Macaca mulatta: one gene and its partners. The protein of the gene in region 2 purifies or fractionates together with the protein of the main gene of each other region. This does not show direct contact. Links are inferred from orthologs where the notes say so. Each region holds a gene or a part of one and is shown on either strand. Other genes may lie near its edges. The genes, in order: ANKS3, NEK7, NLRP3 and ANKS6.

What was found.
Region 1: the proteins of NEK7 (region 2) and ANKS3 purify together in Homo sapiens (affinity purification with mass spectrometry; 3 studies listed by BioGRID and IntAct, with this or other methods). This does not show direct contact. The link is inferred for Macaca mulatta from reciprocal best matches to the Homo sapiens genes NEK7 and ANKS3.
Region 3: the proteins of NEK7 (region 2) and NLRP3 purify together in Homo sapiens (affinity purification with western blotting; 9 studies listed by BioGRID and IntAct, with this or other methods). This does not show direct contact. The link is inferred for Macaca mulatta from reciprocal best matches to the Homo sapiens genes NEK7 and NLRP3.
Region 4: the proteins of NEK7 (region 2) and ANKS6 purify together in Homo sapiens (affinity purification with mass spectrometry; 3 studies listed by BioGRID and IntAct, with this or other methods). This does not show direct contact. The link is inferred for Macaca mulatta from reciprocal best matches to the Homo sapiens genes NEK7 and ANKS6.

Annotation. Positions count from the first base shown.
Region 1 is NC_133425.1:5,965,733-5,970,286, forward strand, and holds part of ANKS3 (ankyrin repeat and SAM domain-containing protein 3), read right to left. Parts: intron 846-4,554; coding exon 687-845; intron 1-686. UniProt on the Homo sapiens protein: May be involved in vasopressin signaling in the kidney.
Region 2 is NC_133406.1:55,876,851-55,881,404, reverse strand, and holds part of NEK7 (serine/threonine-protein kinase Nek7), read right to left. Parts: intron 2,745-4,554; coding exon 2,682-2,744; intron 1,223-2,681; coding exon 1,112-1,222; intron 1-1,111. UniProt on the Homo sapiens protein: Protein kinase which plays an important role in mitotic cell cycle progression. Required for microtubule nucleation activity of the centrosome, robust mitotic spindle formation and cytokinesis.
Region 3 is NC_133406.1:1,600,618-1,605,171, forward strand, and holds part of NLRP3 (NACHT, LRR and PYD domains-containing protein 3), read right to left. Parts: intron 2,877-4,554; coding exon 2,706-2,876; intron 1,023-2,705; coding exon 852-1,022; intron 1-851. UniProt on the Homo sapiens protein: Sensor component of the NLRP3 inflammasome, which mediates inflammasome activation in response to defects in membrane integrity, leading to secretion of inflammatory cytokines IL1B and IL18 and pyroptosis.
Region 4 is NC_133420.1:59,621,969-59,626,522, reverse strand, and holds part of ANKS6 (ankyrin repeat and SAM domain-containing protein 6), read right to left. Parts: intron 2,571-4,554; coding exon 2,526-2,570; intron 1,855-2,525; coding exon 1,650-1,854; intron 249-1,649; coding exon 142-248; intron 1-141.

The DNA of each region.
Region 1 (4,554 bases), on a different chromosome or scaffold from region 2:
GCCTCAGCATCCCGAGTAGCTGGGACCACAGGCGCCGCCACCTCGCCCGGCTAATTTTTTGTGTTTTTTTTTAGTAGAGACGGGATTTCGCCGTGTTACCCAGGATGGTCTCGATCTCCTGACCTTGTGATCCGCCCGTCTCGGCCTCCCAAAGTGCTGGGATTACAGGCGTGAGCCACCGCGCCCGGCCGGTTTTTTTTTTTTTTAGACAGTCTTGCACTGTTGCCAGGTTGGAGTGCAGTGGTGTGATCTTGACTCACTGCAACCTCCACCTCCTGGGTTCAAGCGATTCCCTTGCCTCAGCCTCCTGAGTAGCTGGGATTATAGACGCCTGCCACCATGCCCAGCTACATGTTTGTAGAGACAGGGTTTCACCTATGTGATGAATGAAATCTGAGCGGGCTACATTTCTGCTGCAGGAGAGAAAGTTCTATTCCTAAATTTAGCCAATGAAAAGGAAACTCAAGGAGATTAAGCAAAAAAGAAGAGCTAGTCCGTGACCAGTGCATTTCCATCAGTGGACTCAATCCTGAGTCTCCCTGAGCATGAAAGCTGGGCCACCTGTCCCGCTGCCACCTAAGGTCCAGCGACCCATGTTTCAGGAGCCTAAGAGCTAGTCCATCCTGGCCAACACAGAATCTTGGTATGCAGAGAGAAAGAGCCCTCGGGAAACGCGGGCCACTCACCATAGCGAGGCCGTGGGGCTCTGCCGCCCAGGCCAATGCCTGTGATCCTGGCCAGGGCTCGCGGTCCCTCGTGGATGCTGACACCCTTCTTCCGGCACGGCCTCTGTCTCTGAGGAGCAGGGCAGGACTCGTCAGAGGAGCTCAGATCTTCGTACTTTTCTGTGGTCAAACACCAGGATTAAGATAGTCTGTTCAGTGATGGACTCATTTACTAATCCTTATGGCAAACTGAAAGAAAGTAACTGTCGCCAGTTTTGTTAAATTAAGGAGAAGGGTATCTGCCGGGGCATCACTTTTGAGAAATGCCCTAACAGGCCGGGGCGCTGCTCCAATGGGCCACAGGGAGCTGCAAAGTTAGTGAGGATCGGAAGTTTCATTTTTCTTGAGACACAGTCTCTGTCCCCCGAGCTGAAGTGTAATGGCATGATCCTGGCTCACTCACTGCAACCTCCGCCTCCTGGGTTCAAGCGATTCTCATGTCTCACCCTCCCAAGTAGCTGGGATTACAGGTGCGTGACACCATGCCCAGCTTTTTCTTTTTCTTTAAGCAGAGACAGGCTTTTGCCATGTTGGCCAGGCTGGTCTCCAACTCCTGACCTCAGGTGATCTGCCTGCCTCGGCCTCCCAAAGTGCTGGGATTACAGGCGTGAGCCACCGCGCCTGGCCAGGAGTTTCATTCTTATCTCTGTCGAGGTTTGTAAAATTGTTCATAAGCCTGTATTGTTCATAATCAGAAATTTTGTTCTAATTTGAATAAATAAAATTCATCTCTTCATTAAAATATATGGTAATATCAGTCACAACTTCTTTTTCCTGATCCCTTCCTTTGGAAGCAACTTTTTTTTTTTTTTTGAGATGGAGTTTTGCTCTTGTTGCCCAGGCTAGAACTTCTGCCTCCTGGGTTCAAGTGATTCTCCTGTCTCAGCCTCCCGCGTAGCTGGGATTACAGCCATGCACCACCATACCCAGCTAATTTTTGTACTTTAGTAGAGATGGGGTTTTATCATATTAGTCAGGCTGGTCTCGAACTCCTGACCTCAGGTGATCCACCCACCTCAGCCTCCCAAAGTGATTACAGGCGTAAACCACTGTGCCTGGCTGCAAACAACTTATTAAGGAATTCTGTTTTTTCTTTTTTTCTTTATTTTTTTGAGATGAAGTCTCGCTCCATCGCCCAGGCTGGAGTGCAATGGCACGATCAAGGCTCACTACAAGCTCCACCTCCCGGGTTCACACCATTCTCCTGCCTCAGGCTCCTGAGTAGCTGCGACTACAGGCGCCCGACACCATGCCCGGCTAGTTTTGTTTTTGTATTTTTAGTAAAGATGGAGTTTCACCATGTTAGCCAGGCTGGTCTTGATCTCCTGACCTTGTGATCCACCCGCGTTGGCTTCCCCAAGTGCTGGGATCACAGGCATGAGCTACTGTGCCCGGCCGCAATTCTGTATTTTCTAAAGCATGGCATGTGTTTGCTATGATTATAAAGTGTTTCAAATCACTGCCCAGTCTGAGCTTTCTGAGCTTTCAGAGCTCAACCCAGGGCTTTTACTATTTTGTAGCTTTTCAGTTTTTCATATTTGACTTATATAAGGCTCTGATCCGATTCTACTTTTACGAGATACGTGAGTTGGATGCAGGAGGAAATCATGAGATCTCCTTGTGGAGCTGGTAAGCTGAGACGGAAATGAAGGCAGAGGTCCCCTGCGTTACCATTTTACCACCTGAGCTGTGTTTACTATGAAACAATCCCAACACCAGGGAAGGAGCTGGGCTGAGCCTGACCCTGAGAAAGGAGCTGCTCACTCAGGTGCAAACTGACAGGATAATTCAGGGCAGGCCAGCAAAGAAGGAGAGCTCAGGCCCTGAACATGGGCCACTCTGTCCTTCCCCATGAAGAGGCTCACGCCCTGGCGACTGAGCTAGCTATGTGGACACACACCCCCTCACACTCAAAGATCTACAGCACCCCAGGGAGACTGTGCTTCCATCCAAGCTAAAGGGGAGGGAGCTGTAAGACAAATGCACAAAGGTGGCAATAAGCAAGGGAACGGCAGCTGCGTGAATCTCAGCACCCAACACACCCTCAGAGCGGCTTAAGAATTACAGGCAGATGGAAACCACAAAAAAGCCAGAGCTGCAATCCTCCTATCAAAGTGGAAATCAGGGCAAAATACATTAAATATGACACAGAAGGACTTTTTTTTTTTTTTTTTTTTGAGACAGAGTTTCCCTCTATACCCAGGCTGGAGTGCAGTGGCACAATCTCGGCTCATTGTAACCGCCTCCCGGGTTCAAATGATTCTCCTGCCTCAGTCTCCCAAGTAGCTGGCATTACAGGTGTGTGCCACCATGCCTGGCTAATTTTTGCATTTCGAGTAGACACACGGTTTCACCATGTGGGCTGGGCTGGTCTCGAACTCCTGACCTCAGGTGATCTGCCCGTCTTGGCCTCCCAAAGTGCTGGGATTACAGGCATGAGCCATGCCCGGCTAGAAGGACATTTCTAATACTGAAAGCCGTAATTCACAGTGAATCTATAACAAGTTAAGAAAATCTGTCACCAAAAATGCACCAACTTCCTTCATAAATCACTAATAGGTAATTTTGTAGAAAATGAACTAAAAGTACATAATCCTAAATAAGATACTCACAGATACGCTAAATTGTATACACAGAAAATAGAGAATACAACTTCTTCTCAAGCAAAACACAGAACATTAAAAAATATTGATCAGGGCTGGGCGCGGTGGCTCACGCCTGTAATCCCAGCACTTTGGGAGGCTGAGGTGGGCGGATCACTTGAGGTCAGGACTTCGAGACCAACCTGGCCAACATGGTGAAACGCTGTCCTACTAAAAATACAAAAAAAAAAAAAATCAGCCAGGCGTGGTGGCAGACGCCTGTAATCCCAACTACTCGGGAGACTGAGGCAGGAGAGTCGCTTGAACCTGGGAGGTAGAGGTGGTGGTGAGCCGAAATTGCGCCTGGGCACTCAAGCCTGGGTGACAGAGTGAGACTACATCTGAAAAAATATATATCTATTGATCAGCAGGTGATAAATAAGATGACAAAGAAGTTCTGTCAAGGTAAGAATTATAAACACTACCTGATCAGACACACTAGAATAAAGGTGATCAGAATAACATGAGAAATTAATCACAAGATCAAAAAGGCCCTTCTACCAAGAAATTAACAAACAAAAACAACCACAAGACTTCTATTAGACAACTCATGGGTGAAGGAGAAAATATAAATAAAAATTATAGAATTTCTGAAAAATAATAAGGAAAGTATTAAATACAGAACCCCCAGAATACACTTAAAGCAGCAATCAGCAAAAATTCACAGCCTCTAACATTTAGCAACAAAAGGGAAACAATGAACATGAAAGAAATTTCCAACTCAAAAAACTAGAACAACAAAGTAAGCCAAAGAAAAATAAAAGCAGAAATTAAACCATCAGTAGGTCTCAATAATCAATCAAAATCCGATGGGGTTTTCTTGTTTTTCCACTAAACAAAGTACTAGTATTTAACTTTAAAAGGAAAAAAGGAGCAAACACAAATATTCAAAATAAGAAGTGAGGCCGGGCGCAGTGGCTCACGCCTATAATCTCAGCACTGTGGGAGGCTGAGGCGGGAGGATCACTTGGGCCCAGGAGTTTGAGACCAGCCTGGGCAACATAGTGAGACACTGTCTCTATTTTTTTTAATATAAGAAATTTTTTAAAATATAAGAAATGAGATCCAGCAATTCCACTACTGGTTATTTATCCTAAAGAAAGAAAATCAGCCGGGCGCAGTGGCTCAAGCCTGTAATCCCAGCACTTTGGGAGGCCAAGACGGGCGGATCATGAGGTCGGGAGATC
Region 2 (4,554 bases):
GTGATGATTGGCTGACTCCCTTGCTACAGCAAGCTCGAATAAATAGCTTTTGTTTTTCTCATTCAGTTATTCTTGTTTGTTTCTAGATGGTTCAAGTTGTGTTCCATAGTAACAGAAGTTTAGCTGGGCACACGGCCAGCTGAATGAAGACTTTCTTTTCCAGCCTTCCTTGCAGCTAGATAGGTTCATGAGACTACATTCTGGCCAAGGGAATGAAGCTGAAAATGTTGTGTGACAGGCAGCACTCAGGAATGTGCTTTAAGATAAAGCCAGCATGTACTCTTTGTCCCTTCAAGCCTAGTGTGACTTGATAAGCTAGAAATAGGCTAGGTCTCTAAAATACTCTTGATAGAACAGAGCTACCATACTAGCCCCAGACTTTTACGTGACAGAGAAGTAATAAAAATAACAATAATAATAATAGCAGCAGCAGATACATTTACATAGCCTTACAATGTGTGAGGCATTCTTCTAAGCTCTTAATAAATGTTAATTAATTCAATAATTACAACAATCCTATAAAGTAGGTCATATTATTACTTTGTTTTTTAGAAAATGTGACGCAGAGGAGTAACTGGCCCAAGGACAAACAGTTTTTAAGCTACTATTATTTAAGGGTTTCTATTAATTGCAGCTGAACTTAAACCCAATTAATATGCCCTTAGAAAAGAAGGTAAAACAATTTTTATGTGGGGTTGATATCCAAGGTCTGACTGCAAATCCCACTTTCTTTGATGGATCCCCCCCAGAAATAGGTCAGGCTGCTCTAGAGTCTCTTTCTACCTCCTTTTACTCATGTCCAGAGACACAGGAGCAAGCATGGTCTGCTCAGAGAATCAAACAGCAAAACTTGACTTATAGAAGACAAGTATCTTGGTCCCTTTCCAAGTTGGTTTTGGTTTTAGATATTTAAGCTGACCAGTGGAAACATCACCAAGTAAACCAGTTTCAGAATTATGATCACTAATCATCTACTATTTATTACATATCTACCAGATAAGTCTTGCATTGAGGTCTTTAGTTTAAAATATCTAATATCCCTATATGTTTAACAGACAATTCTATTAGAAAAAACAAAACAAAATATTAAGACGATTTTTTAAAAACTTACCTTGATCATTCTGGATAGGTCACCAGCATCTGCTAGTTCCAAAACTATGTTTAGTTCATTATCTTCAATGAATGATGCATAATATTTTATTACATTTGGATGGTTGAGTTGCTGAGAAAATAAAACAGGCATCAGAAAGTTTTCTTACTGTAAATTTCTAAGAGTCACTTACAGTTTTGTAACTTAAGAACAAACTTAACTGTATTTTTTAAATTATAGAAATCTTAACATGACAGTATATTTTTCTTTAATGAATTTTGAAACAAATACTACAATTATTAAAAGTAAAAGGTATAATTTCACCTTAATATTATTAGAAATAATATATTTTACATTTAAATCTTAATTTAAAAGTACTGCTAAGCCCAATAAGTATATCAACAGATGCAAGAAGTAAATGACAGAATTAGGTCACCAACTGCTAAAAATTACACCCTCAAAATGAGAACTTTCATTTAGGAACACTCAATGATAAAGTAGCCCTTTTTACTCCTATTTAGAAGTTATGGCTGGTCCTAGAATAACTCCAGCTAGCAGACAAAACACAGCTGGTATCTACTATACTATATCTAACTATTGCTTTTATATCAAATAATATACAGGACTTATTTATGTGAGCCAATTCATAAAATCATCCCTAAGAAAAATTTTACCTTGTAGAAATACATGTATCAGTCCCTACTCATTTACAGTCCTTTTGTTCAATCTTTAAACACATTAATATGAGATGCATTGTTTCTCTGAGAAATTATGCAGAAAGTATGGGTGACTTTCTTCTTTCTACTTAAAGTTTTCTCCGCAAATTTTCTATGATGACGTGCTATTTCTACAGTAAAAGTTCACATATATTTAAGCCAGCTACTTCATGTGCCAAGAAATAACTACAACTAACAAAATAGTCAGAAAACATTGCTTTGACCTTACTTTTTTCCTTTTTGCATAAATCTGGTTCATTTTAGGCACTAACACAAATGGATGGCATAAAAAAACACCCAAATCTTAACTAAAAGTTAAAAATACAACATAAGCCACAGCATTTCTCAAAAGAAACTTCACTATAAACGAATCAGTGCAGAAATAATTGAGGTCTCAGTCATATTTTTAGTAGATGAGAAACTAAAAAGCTAATTCCTGGCATACTCTTTAGATGCACTCTGTCTAAGTCTGGAAAAAGGTTTTGAAACATTAGAAAATGCATGTGAACCATTTCAATATAATACATGTTGAGATAATACTAATTTGCATTTATATTACTTAACCTTTAGAATATATCTTGTTGGGGTGGTCAAGAAAAAAATTTTTTCAATGTTTTATGCCCGTTTTATCTATTTCCTAGTTTGAAATGAGAAAAAAAAAGCTGGTCCTACCAAATGTTCTGATTATATTATTTAACAATAAATCCAAAAAATAACTATATTCTTCAATATACTGAAATTCAACCTTACATAATATTACTTGAAAATCAGTGTAGTGTAAGTCTTAAAAACCTTTTTGTGTTTACGTGTGATATTTTAGTAAATCACTTTTATCACAATGTTATGTTCAAAAGAGTCAATAGTTCATTAATTACCTTAAGAAGATCTATTTCTTTGATGCAATCAGCACGTGCTTTGGCATCCATTAAATCAAATATCTAAAAATAGAACCCAGAATTATTTAATGAAATAATAACCTGTGGTTCAAGCTATCATGTAAATTCATTTTAATACTCTACATGTAATTATATGTACACTAAGGAATTTTCTTTCCGATTAGCTTTTATTTATTATAGAGGTCTGCAGGTATCTTACGTTACCAACAACACTTACATTTTCAGCAGTCAGTATTTAAAAAATGGATAAAGAGAACAGTTAGATATCCCTTGACACTAAGGTCTTAAGTTCCAAAGAACAAAATTAAAGTTGTGATTATTAAGATGATAAAGTAATAGCTAATACATGTTGAGCAATTAATATATGCTAAATGTACTGCACAACCTTATGAGGATGATAATAGTAGTATTCCCATTTTACAGATGAAGAAGAGAAGCTTTAGAAAGCTAAGGAGACTGACAAAAGGTCACATAGCTAATCAACAGAGCAAGCAGAATTCATTCTTAGAATTATCCGTCTAGAACCCAAGCAGTGAACTATTAATCTGTTCCATCAAATCATGTCTAAAAGGTCTGATGTATGCATTTTTGACAAGGGTGCTATCATTTCAAGGGGGTGAAATTTGGTTCTTTGAGGAGAAGGGTAACAAAATTTTACTCTATTAAGTATAAAGTGTAGATACACATACAGTATTGCACATAAACAGATGTATTTGTGGAATTAAAATTTCATGGGTAGAGGTAATTGGGAAGAAATGCCTAAAAAAGCAGTTTGAAGGGAAGATAATGAAGTAAGGGTTGAAAAATATTAACCTACCATTAAAAACATAAAAATAAAAAATACAATCAAAAAGGTATTTCATGTGTCTCTGAAAACACAAATCTCTCAAGGTTCTAAGTGTGTGGAAAATAACATTTAAAAAAGCAATATCTTAGAGACTGGAAAAAAAAAATCTAAGTCAGTACTGCAAGGTGATTAAAACTCTAGTGACATAACAAATTTTAAAAAATGACATTTTTAGTAATCAGCTTGATCAAGTCTTCCTGATTCAGCCAGCTAACATTCCAAGAAAAGGTACGATGTCAAAGGAGTGGCAGAATCCAAGTCTTTTTAATTAGAGAAGTAGTTATTAGACACCAGCAGAGAGGGCTGGCCTCTTTACACATGATGCTTTGAAATTCATTGCAATCTTATAAGATAGGTAGTACTGGCCACAATAACAAAATGAGGATTGAGGCTCAAAAATATTAAATAATATGCTTATGATCATAAAACTAGTAAATGACAGAATCTTGAAGCCAGGTTGTTCTAGCTCCACAGTCAGTGTTTTCTCAATGAGCCAGGCTGTCATGAAGTGTAATGCATACACAACTAGCTAAGAAGTATTAAAATACATGTGTGTACAAAATGTAGCATTAGAGACCTAAGGAAGAAATTCCTCCCATGTAGGGAGGGGGCAGCATTAGAGGTGAAGCTTGAAAGAATTACAGGGTTCTACCAGACAGAAACAAAAGATATCTAATGCATAAAGGTAAATATGGAATAAGGGTGTATAATTACAGCTTATGAGAGGCAACTTTTTCTAGATATCATTCTTACTATCCAAAGATACACAAAGTTCTAATTTTTCTTAATTTAAAAAAAACCATGAAGATATTAGATAAGATTATAAAGCAAAAATAAAATCCATAAACTCAATGCCTTAAAGAATTTTAGCTTTGGCTCAGTCCCTTTTATTTCTTGTACAAATGCATGTGCTTTTACATAGTGAAAATAGCAGTATATAAAATGATATACAGGCTGCGCATAGTGGCTCACACCTGTAATCCCAGCACTTAGGGAGGCCAAGGC
Region 3 (4,554 bases), about 54 Mb from region 2:
TTTAAACTGGAGACACAGATACCCACCTTACAGCATCTTTCTGACGCCAACTGAGAAAATCCATGTAAGAACAGGAAAGAGCAGGTGATACGGGAAAGTGGTATAGGGAAAGTGGTACAGGGAAAGTGCATGATTATTAGTGGGTATTCTCTACTACTGTTTACTGCAGAATTCCAACATGAACCAAAAGGTTTATGTAACTGCCAAAAACCATAAGGAAATCAGAGGCTCCACCAGTGAAACCATAGTTCTCTGCAACAGGAGCTAAAACATCCACCACACGTCATCAGGTCTGGGCACCAAATTGCAAAGAGAGACACTAACAAACCAGCCTGTGTACCTGGGAGAGCATGGCTACACAGGTGAAGGTGCTGAGCCCTGACACTGTTGAGGATAAAGAGGCTGCAGGGTAAAAGCTCTCTCCTAGTGCAGAGGCTGCAGGGTAAAATCCCTCTCCTACTGTAGAGGCTGCAGGGTAAGAGCTCTTTCCTGGTGTAGAGGCTGCACGCACTGGACGATAACTTGCATGCATGCACACATAAAATGGGTGACTATTCATGTGAGTGCCTTGGAAACAATTTTTTTCCTCAATGGGCAATTGGGCTGCACAATCTCTAAGGTTTTTTCCAACACTAAGAAACTCTAATGCTATAATCATAAATTAGCATAAATTATCTCATTAGCAGTAGTATACATTATATACATCCAGTCCTTCAAACCATTTCTGATGTTTTTACCTCCTTACTCTACCTTCAACTCTGCCTGACCAGAGTAACCCCCATCCACATTTTCCACATAATTCACCTCTGAAAAGAAGTTACTTTTCTGCTGAGACACCCATGAAGACTTACCCCAGTTTCTGCAGGTTACATTGTGGATTCTTGGCTTTTTCACATAAAATTGCGACTCCTGCGTCTCCCAGGGCATTCTCCCCCACGTAGAGTCTGGTCAGGGAACGGCTGGTGCTCAATACTGACGCAAGATCCTGACAACACGCTGATGTGAGGCAGCAGCTGACCAGCCTTCCACAAAGACGGCAGAATGTCAGTCATGTCTCTCACCCACGCTCCACCATGAACAAGGAGGCACCCGTACCTGCCACTGCCTCTACTCCAGTTTACACATGGAAAGGGAGTGGACACAAGCTCTACGTACACTTCTGATTTCCTCTTCCATCTGGCGGAATAACAAGCTCGCACCAATACTACATCTTCCCAGCTCCCTACATTCAGCTTTATTGTGGTGAAATACGTGTAAAATGAAATTTACCATCTTAACCATTTTTAAGTGCACGATTAACGGCCTTAAGCACATTCACATTGTTGTGCAACCATCTTCACCACCGTCTCCAGAACTCCTTTCATCTTGCCGAACTGAAACTCCATAACCATTAAACAATGTCTTCCCGTTCCCCACTCTCCCATTGCCTGCAACCACCTTTCTTTCTGTCTCTATGAATCTGACTATTCTAGGCACCTCTTATCAGGACAATCACAGAGTATTTGCCCTTTCAAGCCTAGCTTATCTTACTTAGCATAATGTCCCTGAGGCTCATCCATGTTGTAGTGTGTACTAGAATTCCTTTTAAAGCTGAATGTACATATATAGCACTTTTCAACACCCTTTATCCGTTGAAGGACGTTTGGGTTATTTCTACCTTTTGGCTAGTGCTAATAGTGTTGCTATGGACATGGGTGTACAAATAACATGTTTGAGTTCCTGCCTTCTTTTTTTTTTTAACTCTTCCTCGGTTACCCAGGTGGGAATGCAGTGGCATGATCTTGACTCACTGCAACCTCCGCCTCCCAGGTTCAAACGATTCTCTTGCCTCCACCCGGAGTAGCTGGGATTACAAGCACGTGCCACCACGCCTGGCTAATTTTTGTATTTTTAGTAGAGACAAGGTTTTACTATGATGGCCAGGCTAGTCTCAAACTCCTGACCTCAAGTGATCCACCTGCCTCGGCCTCCCAAAATGCTGGGATTACAGGTGTGAGCCACTGTGCCTGGCTGAGTTACTGCTTTGAACTCTTTTGCAGATATACCCAGGAGTGGAAATGCTGGCTTCAATAGTAATTCTATATTGTTTTAGGAATTGCAGTGCTGTTTTCCACACTGGCTGCATCATTTACTTTCCCACCAGCAATACACAATGGCTTCCATTTCTCCGTATCCATGCCAATACTTGTTTTCTAGTTTTCTTGCTTTTGTTTAATAATAGCCATCCTAATGGGTGAGAATTGGCCCTTCCATTTTTAAGTGTTTTTTTCTCTCCTTCAAAATGCAAGTCTCCCAGAAGCATTCAGGGAAGGGCTGCATACAACATCGAGTGTCTGCACTGCTTTAGCACCATTTTTCTTATACAACATGAGGACCCAGGGCTTGTCATGAAATTCTAAAACTCCTCTAAAGCAATGCATTACACTGGTTTTCTTCTTTTTCTCAGCTAAGGCAGTGGGCACCCTACAGGCAGTCATCTTCTTTTTTTATTACTTATGCCCCTTGTCAGGGTTGAGTGTGTGACATTCCCCACAGCAAACACTAACTAACCGAAATGCCACAGACACCCAGAGACAAGCACACACAGCCACCTGAGCCGCCGAGGCCACTGTCACTCAAACTCCAGCCCCCCAGGCCTCACTGAAGCCAGAGTGCGAAACATGCCTTGTTGGCAGGGCTTCCTTTGGGGAACGGGCTCAACTCACCAGAGCTTCTTCAGATTGCACAACAGGTGCTTCAGTCCCACACACAGAAGTCTGATCCCGAAGTCCCCAAGGGCGTTGTCGCTCAGGTCCAGCTCCACCAGCTTCTGGTTGCTGCTGAGGACCAAGGAGATGTCGAAGCAGCACTCATGCGAGAGGCCGCAGCGCCCCAACCTTCATGCCAAGAACAGAGGCAGAAAGCGTCAGAACACATCTGACCAGAGAACTCCGGAATACAGCACAAGGTCAGCCCTCAGGCTCCCCAGTCACAGCAGAGGGAGCACCCGTCAGTGAATTCCCGGCCATAAACAGTGCCGGGTGCATTGCAGTCACCCCCCAGACAAGTGAATGGTGAGCTCCTGGCTTGTAAGTGAAACGGGTGGTGTGGGCCTGTGCACTCCACCTCCTTCCCTTGTGTTCCTAACTGTTGATGTGCCCGCAGTCGGCTCTGCCCTCGCCAGCGCTGCACTCAGCTATTTCTTGTCTTTACCAACATTGTCACCCCATTGTGCTTGATGATTTCATCCCAGCCATCCATCTATATTGAAAGGAAAAGCAGCTCTGATTCTTTTTCTCTTTCTTTTTCTTTTCTTTTTTTTTAGAGACAGGGTCTCACTTTGTTGCACAGGCTGGAGTGCAATGGTGAGATCATAGCTCACTGCCACCTAGAACTCCTGTGCTCAAGGAGATCCACCTGCCTCAGCCTCCCAAGTGGCTGCAAATACCAGCATGTGCTACCATGCTTAGCTATTTTATTTATTTATTTATTTATTTATTTATTATTTTGTAAAGACAAGGTCTGACCAGCTTGCTCAGGCTGGTTTTGAACTCCTGGGCTTATGATCTGCCCACCTCAGCCTCTCAAAGTGCTGGGGTTCCGCACCCCGCTGCAGCTCTGATTCTTTATTGGTTTCACCGTTACACACATGCACACACACACACGCACATCACTACCACCGTCACCACCACCACCAGCAACAAAAATGTATCCCTGTCGTGGGGGCGAGAACGACATTCTAGTTTCTTTCCAGGGCAATAGTTCATAGGTCCTGGAGCCTGTTAGACCACCTTCCTTTCTGTCCCTATCCTTACACCAACTTCAAGCAAATGGACAAATGGATCTCTACTTATCTGCAGAACATCTCATTGTCACCTACCCTTTCCTGTTTGTGTCTCCCTCTCCAGAATCACACAGGGGCAATGGCAGTGGGGAGAGAACTTGGGGATGAAGTTGGAGAAATAAGGTTAAGTGTCCCAAAGAGCCAGTCTCCATGGTACGACAATTTGAAATTTATCAAAAGAGCAAAGATCAAGAGAGTGTGATCTATATACACAATGGAATACTGCTCAGCCATAGAAAAGAAGGAAGTCACATCTTTGAAGCCACATGGATGAAACTGGAGGCCATTATCTTAAGTGAAATACCTCAGAAACAGAGTCAAATACCACATGTTCTCACTTACAAGTTTGAGCTAAACAAAGGGTAACATCCACAGAGCATAGAATGATAGACACTGGAGCCTCAGAAGGGTGGGAGGGTGGGACCCAGGTGAGGGCTGGAAAATTACTTATTGGGTACAATGTTCACTATTTGGGTAAGAGTTACACAAAGGCCGGGTGCGGTGTCTCATGCCTGTAATCCCAGCACTTTGGGAGGCCAAGGCGGGCAGATCACGAGGTCAGGAGTTTGAGACCAGCCTAGCCAATATAGTGAAATCTTGTCTCTACCAAAAATATAAAAATTAGCTGGGTGTGGTGGCCCACGCCTGCAATCCCAACTACTCGGGAGGCTGAGGCAGAAGAATCGCTTAAACCCGGGAGGTGGATGTTGCAGTGAGCCAAGATTGTGCCA
Region 4 (4,554 bases), on a different chromosome or scaffold from region 2:
TAAGCTCCTGACACTTGAGAATGACTTTCCCCCACGAATAATCAAGTGCATAAAATACAAGTCACAGAGGAGGTGGTTGTCTTGACTCCCAGCCGGAGAAATGCTGGGTAGATTTACAACCCTTTTCTTGAAATTACCCACCGGGATCATTCAGCAGCATCACCAGGTCAAAGGCTGTGTATCCATTTTTTGCACGAAGAGTGACATCAGCCCCTTGGTTTAGCAGATATTTGACAATTTCCTTATTCCTGGGAAGAAAATGCTAGAGTTACATTCACTGAAAGCAAAAGTATGGCTTTGCTCCTGGGCAACAAAACCAACAACATTAACTACAAGGCTCAGTCTCTGAGCATTTAAGAAGGGCATGGAAGGGCAAACAGTCTCATTCTCTCATTCCCTAGCACGTGGGCAGGTCAAGCGGGAACATGATTTAAATCAAAGTCTAAGTGTTCCTTCCAGGAACAAAATGAAAACCGAGGCTAGATGTGGTGGCTCACACTTGTAATCCCACCACTTTGGGAAGCAAAGGCGGGAGGATGGCTTGAGCCCAGGAGTTTGAGACCAGCCTGGGCAACATGGGGGGCCTTGTCTCTACCAAAAATTTTGTTTAAAAATCAGCTGGGTGTGGTGGTGCAAGCCTGTAGTCCCAGCTACTTGAGAGACTGAGGCAGGAGGATTGCTTGAGTCTGGGAGGTCAAGGCTGTAATGAGCCATGATCACGCTACTGCACTCCGGCCTGGCAACAAAGTGAGATACTGTCGGAAACAGAAGGGAAGGGGAAGGGAAGGGGAAGGGGAAGGGGAAGGGAAAGGGAAAGGGGAAGGGGAAGAGGACCAAACCAAGGGCTCTGCCCAAAAATCACTGACCCCATGGGAGACCCCACTTCTTCCACCCTAAACCAGGACATGTCCATTGGGTAAGTCTCCTACAGACCAAGGTGTCTGAAATAAAATTTCATCTTGGAATTCAATGCTCATCGAAGAAGAAAACAAACTGCTTTCAGATGACACAGGAAAGTGATCTAATCACCTAAAAGAGGGTAAGGAAAGAACCTCTAATTGGGAATCAGATAACTTAGCAGCTACAAGATGCCCACCCCAAAGAGGAGGCCTCCAGGAGGATGACAGCCCACCCTGCTGGGATGATCACATAAGAAGGGGTTCATAAGCACCCTGTAAACACTGAAGCTTATTCAAAAGGAGAGAGGTAGGACACATCTCACCATCAATCATCACAAGATGACAATGGTATGAATCACCAATGTTTACTTCATACAGGGGCTACTTAAGGAGGTCACTATATCTCAGTGTGAAAACTCCAATGAACCAGTCATTGTGTTCAACTGAAACCAACCTAGAGAACCTTATCTCTCTGCATAAAATGCTTCTGCTGCATGGTTTTTCATGGCCACTGGTGAAATTCTGTGATGGGAGAACAGGAAATCTGGACACAGAAGGGTGGAAATAAAATGAACCTGTGCCGCTTTCATTTTTTTCTTTCTTTTTTTTTTTTTTTGCATGCCTCAATGTCATCACAGTCCTGGGGTTTGTATGCAGCATCTCAGGACCAGAAGAGCCCACTGGAAACCCCCATCTCAGGCCAGAACATATGTCTGGCCTTGTTGCTGAGGGCGTGGAGCTGGCACTGACCCATGGTAGGTCGCCTGCATGAGGGCTGTCCAGCCATGCACGCTGTCCTGCTTGTCAACATCCGCGTGCCTCTCCACCAGTAGCTGCACCAGAGCCAGCTGCCCTGTAACAGCTGCTAGCATCAGGGGCGTCGCCCCGTCCCCATTGACCAAGTTCACGTGGCTGGGGTCTTCATCGGCAATCTCTTTGACCAGCTGGAAGTTTCCTACAAACACAAGCAAGAGTCTGGGTGATCTGTGGGCCTGGGACCATAAGCTGATTTATCCTGTGGTTCACGTAACAAACACTTGCTGGCCCTGCCTCTGCAGTGGGCTGCTGGGCACCATAGGGGATACTAAGAGGGGGTCAGAGATAGCGCTGACTCTCAAATGCTTCAGTCTAGGCGGGACAGAGACAAGCACACGAATGGGTAGAAGTGTTACTAAAAGACAGAAGTATTGTTAGTATCTTCAGAGAACAGATGAAGGACACAGAAGAAGGCAGAAGGAGAATTCAGGTCTTGCTGTGGGGTGAGGATCGGGAAAGGCTTCCTGGAGGAAGGGTCTATATCAAGAGAGAAAATTTTAGGCTAAATGTCTCTTTGTCACAAAGAGACTGGAATGGGTATGCAGACAGGCATTTCAGAGGCAGGAAGAGCTGGGGCATATAGCTAGCCAGTGTTCGGCTGGAGTGGGGCTGGAGGCCCTCTGGAGTCTATGTGTAGAGCTCCATAATAAATACTGGCCTCCAGGATCTGAACTTCCAAACACCAAACACCAAAATGCCTGTTTCTTTCTCAAATAACCTGGGTGGCCCTGCAAAGGACTACAAATATTAGGTTGGGAGAATGTAGTTCTGTATTCTTAAATATCCAAAAAGATCTTCTAAAGCGCTTACCCATTTTCAATGCATGGAAAATATCAGGTCGCCTTTTCTCTTCATCTGGGTAAACAAAGATTTTAAAAGTTAACCACGGAAAGGTTTAATATAACAGAAAAGTCACAAGGGTGTAACAACACAGCCTGGCTTTAAAAAGCATCTAATTCTCAAAAGCAATCTAATTGGAGACCTACGTAATGGACAAATCCAGCAGCCCTTCTGGAAGGTTTATTACCAAAGAACATCTGAAAACACTTCAGAGACAGATCTTGCCAACAAAACACAAAAGAGCAGCAGATCACGGCCCTGATCTCATGCAAATAAAGCAATCATTTTTAGGCAAAACAAATGTTGGCATATCCTTTCCTAGATATACTGAAAAGTCTTGGGGTCTTGGAAAATCTTGGATTCCTATGGACATTGTTTAAAAAAATTTTTTTTCTTTTAAAAACTAAACATACAATCATAATTCCAAATCTGCTGCTGACATACCGAGCAGCTGAGCTCTACGGAAGTTCACAGACACAGCCAACAGAAGAGCCAATGCTCATGTTTTCTTTCCCTCCCATGTAAGAAGCAATCAGAACATGCTCCCTGCCCCAAACCTGCAGACACAGCTGCCCAAAGGCCACTGCCCAACTGGGCATCTTCATGCTGTACCCTGAAGCCCAGCTGCTAGGTTGGGGCCAGACCCCATGCCTACCTGCACAGCTGAGCCTTGCTGCAGCTGCCAGATGCTAGCCCCTCTCTCACATGCTCATCCCACACCTTCCTCCAAGCCTGGGCCAGCAGGTACCCTGCTCCTGTCAGAGGAGGCATCCTCATGGCCAGTCTGCTTGCTAGGGGGCTGAAGGCAGGCCTTCTGCAGTCTTTAACTGATCCCAGGGGACGGAGCAGCTGCCAGAGGGAACTTGTGAATCTGGGCTGACTCTGGTCCAGATAAGCCCTCTTGAGCAGCTGGGAGGAAGCTGCAGCCCGGGGCAAGGAGCACTGAGTGTGGAGTCAGTGCATAAGAATTTCAGTGCGCATTTTTACAGTAAGCTGCCTCTTCATCACAAATGTGGGGATAACATCCCTTTCATCTGGCTGTTGCAGGGATCAAATGATAATGTTAAAGCCCCATTCAAAGAACAATTATTTCTTTACTAGCAACCAGCAAGGTGGACCCCAGAATTCTTTTTATGAGATGGAGTCTCACTCTGTTGCCCAGGCTGGAGTGCAGTGGTGTGATCTCGGCTCACTGCAACCTCTGCCTCCTGGGTTCAAGTGATTCTTGTGCCTCAGCCTCCCGAGTAGCTGGGATTACAGGCACATGCCACCACACCTGGCTAATGTTTGTAAGAGACAGTGTTTCGCCATGTTGGCCAGGCTGGTCTTTAACTCCTGACCTTGAGTGATCTGCCCGCCTTGGCCTCCCAAACTGTTGGGATTGCAGGCGTGAGCCACCGCTCCAGGCCAGAACCCCAGAATTCCTTTTTTTTTTTTTTTTTTTTTTTGAGACAGAGTCTTGCCCTGTCTCCCAGGTTAGAGGGCAGTGGCAAGATCTCGGCTCACTGCAATCTCCACCTCCCGGGTTCAAGCGATTCTCCTGCCTCAGCTTCCAGAGTAGCTGGGATTACAGGCACCCGCCACCACACCTGGCTAATTTTTGCATTTTTAGTAGAGACGGGGTTTCACCATCTAGGGCAGGTTGGTCTCGAACTCCTGACCTCATGATCTACCCATCTCCGCCTCCCAAAGTGCTGGGATTACAGGCATGAGCCACCACACCTGGCCAGAATCCCAGAATTCTTCATGAGAAGTACAGACACTGCCACAGGACACAGTACATCAATTTTGCCTGTGAAATACTATCAAGAAACAATTTTGCACCTGACTTTTAAAAAATATGTCATGTTCCTCCAAGTATTCACGAACCATCTTTGCTGTGGTGGGGGGGTCTTCTCATGCCAAGACCTTTTCACAGAAGAGTGTCACCTGGTCTTAGTGTTTGCTGCTAAGCAACCATCTGACACAAGTTAATCACTGACAGCGGAGCCTGGCCCCA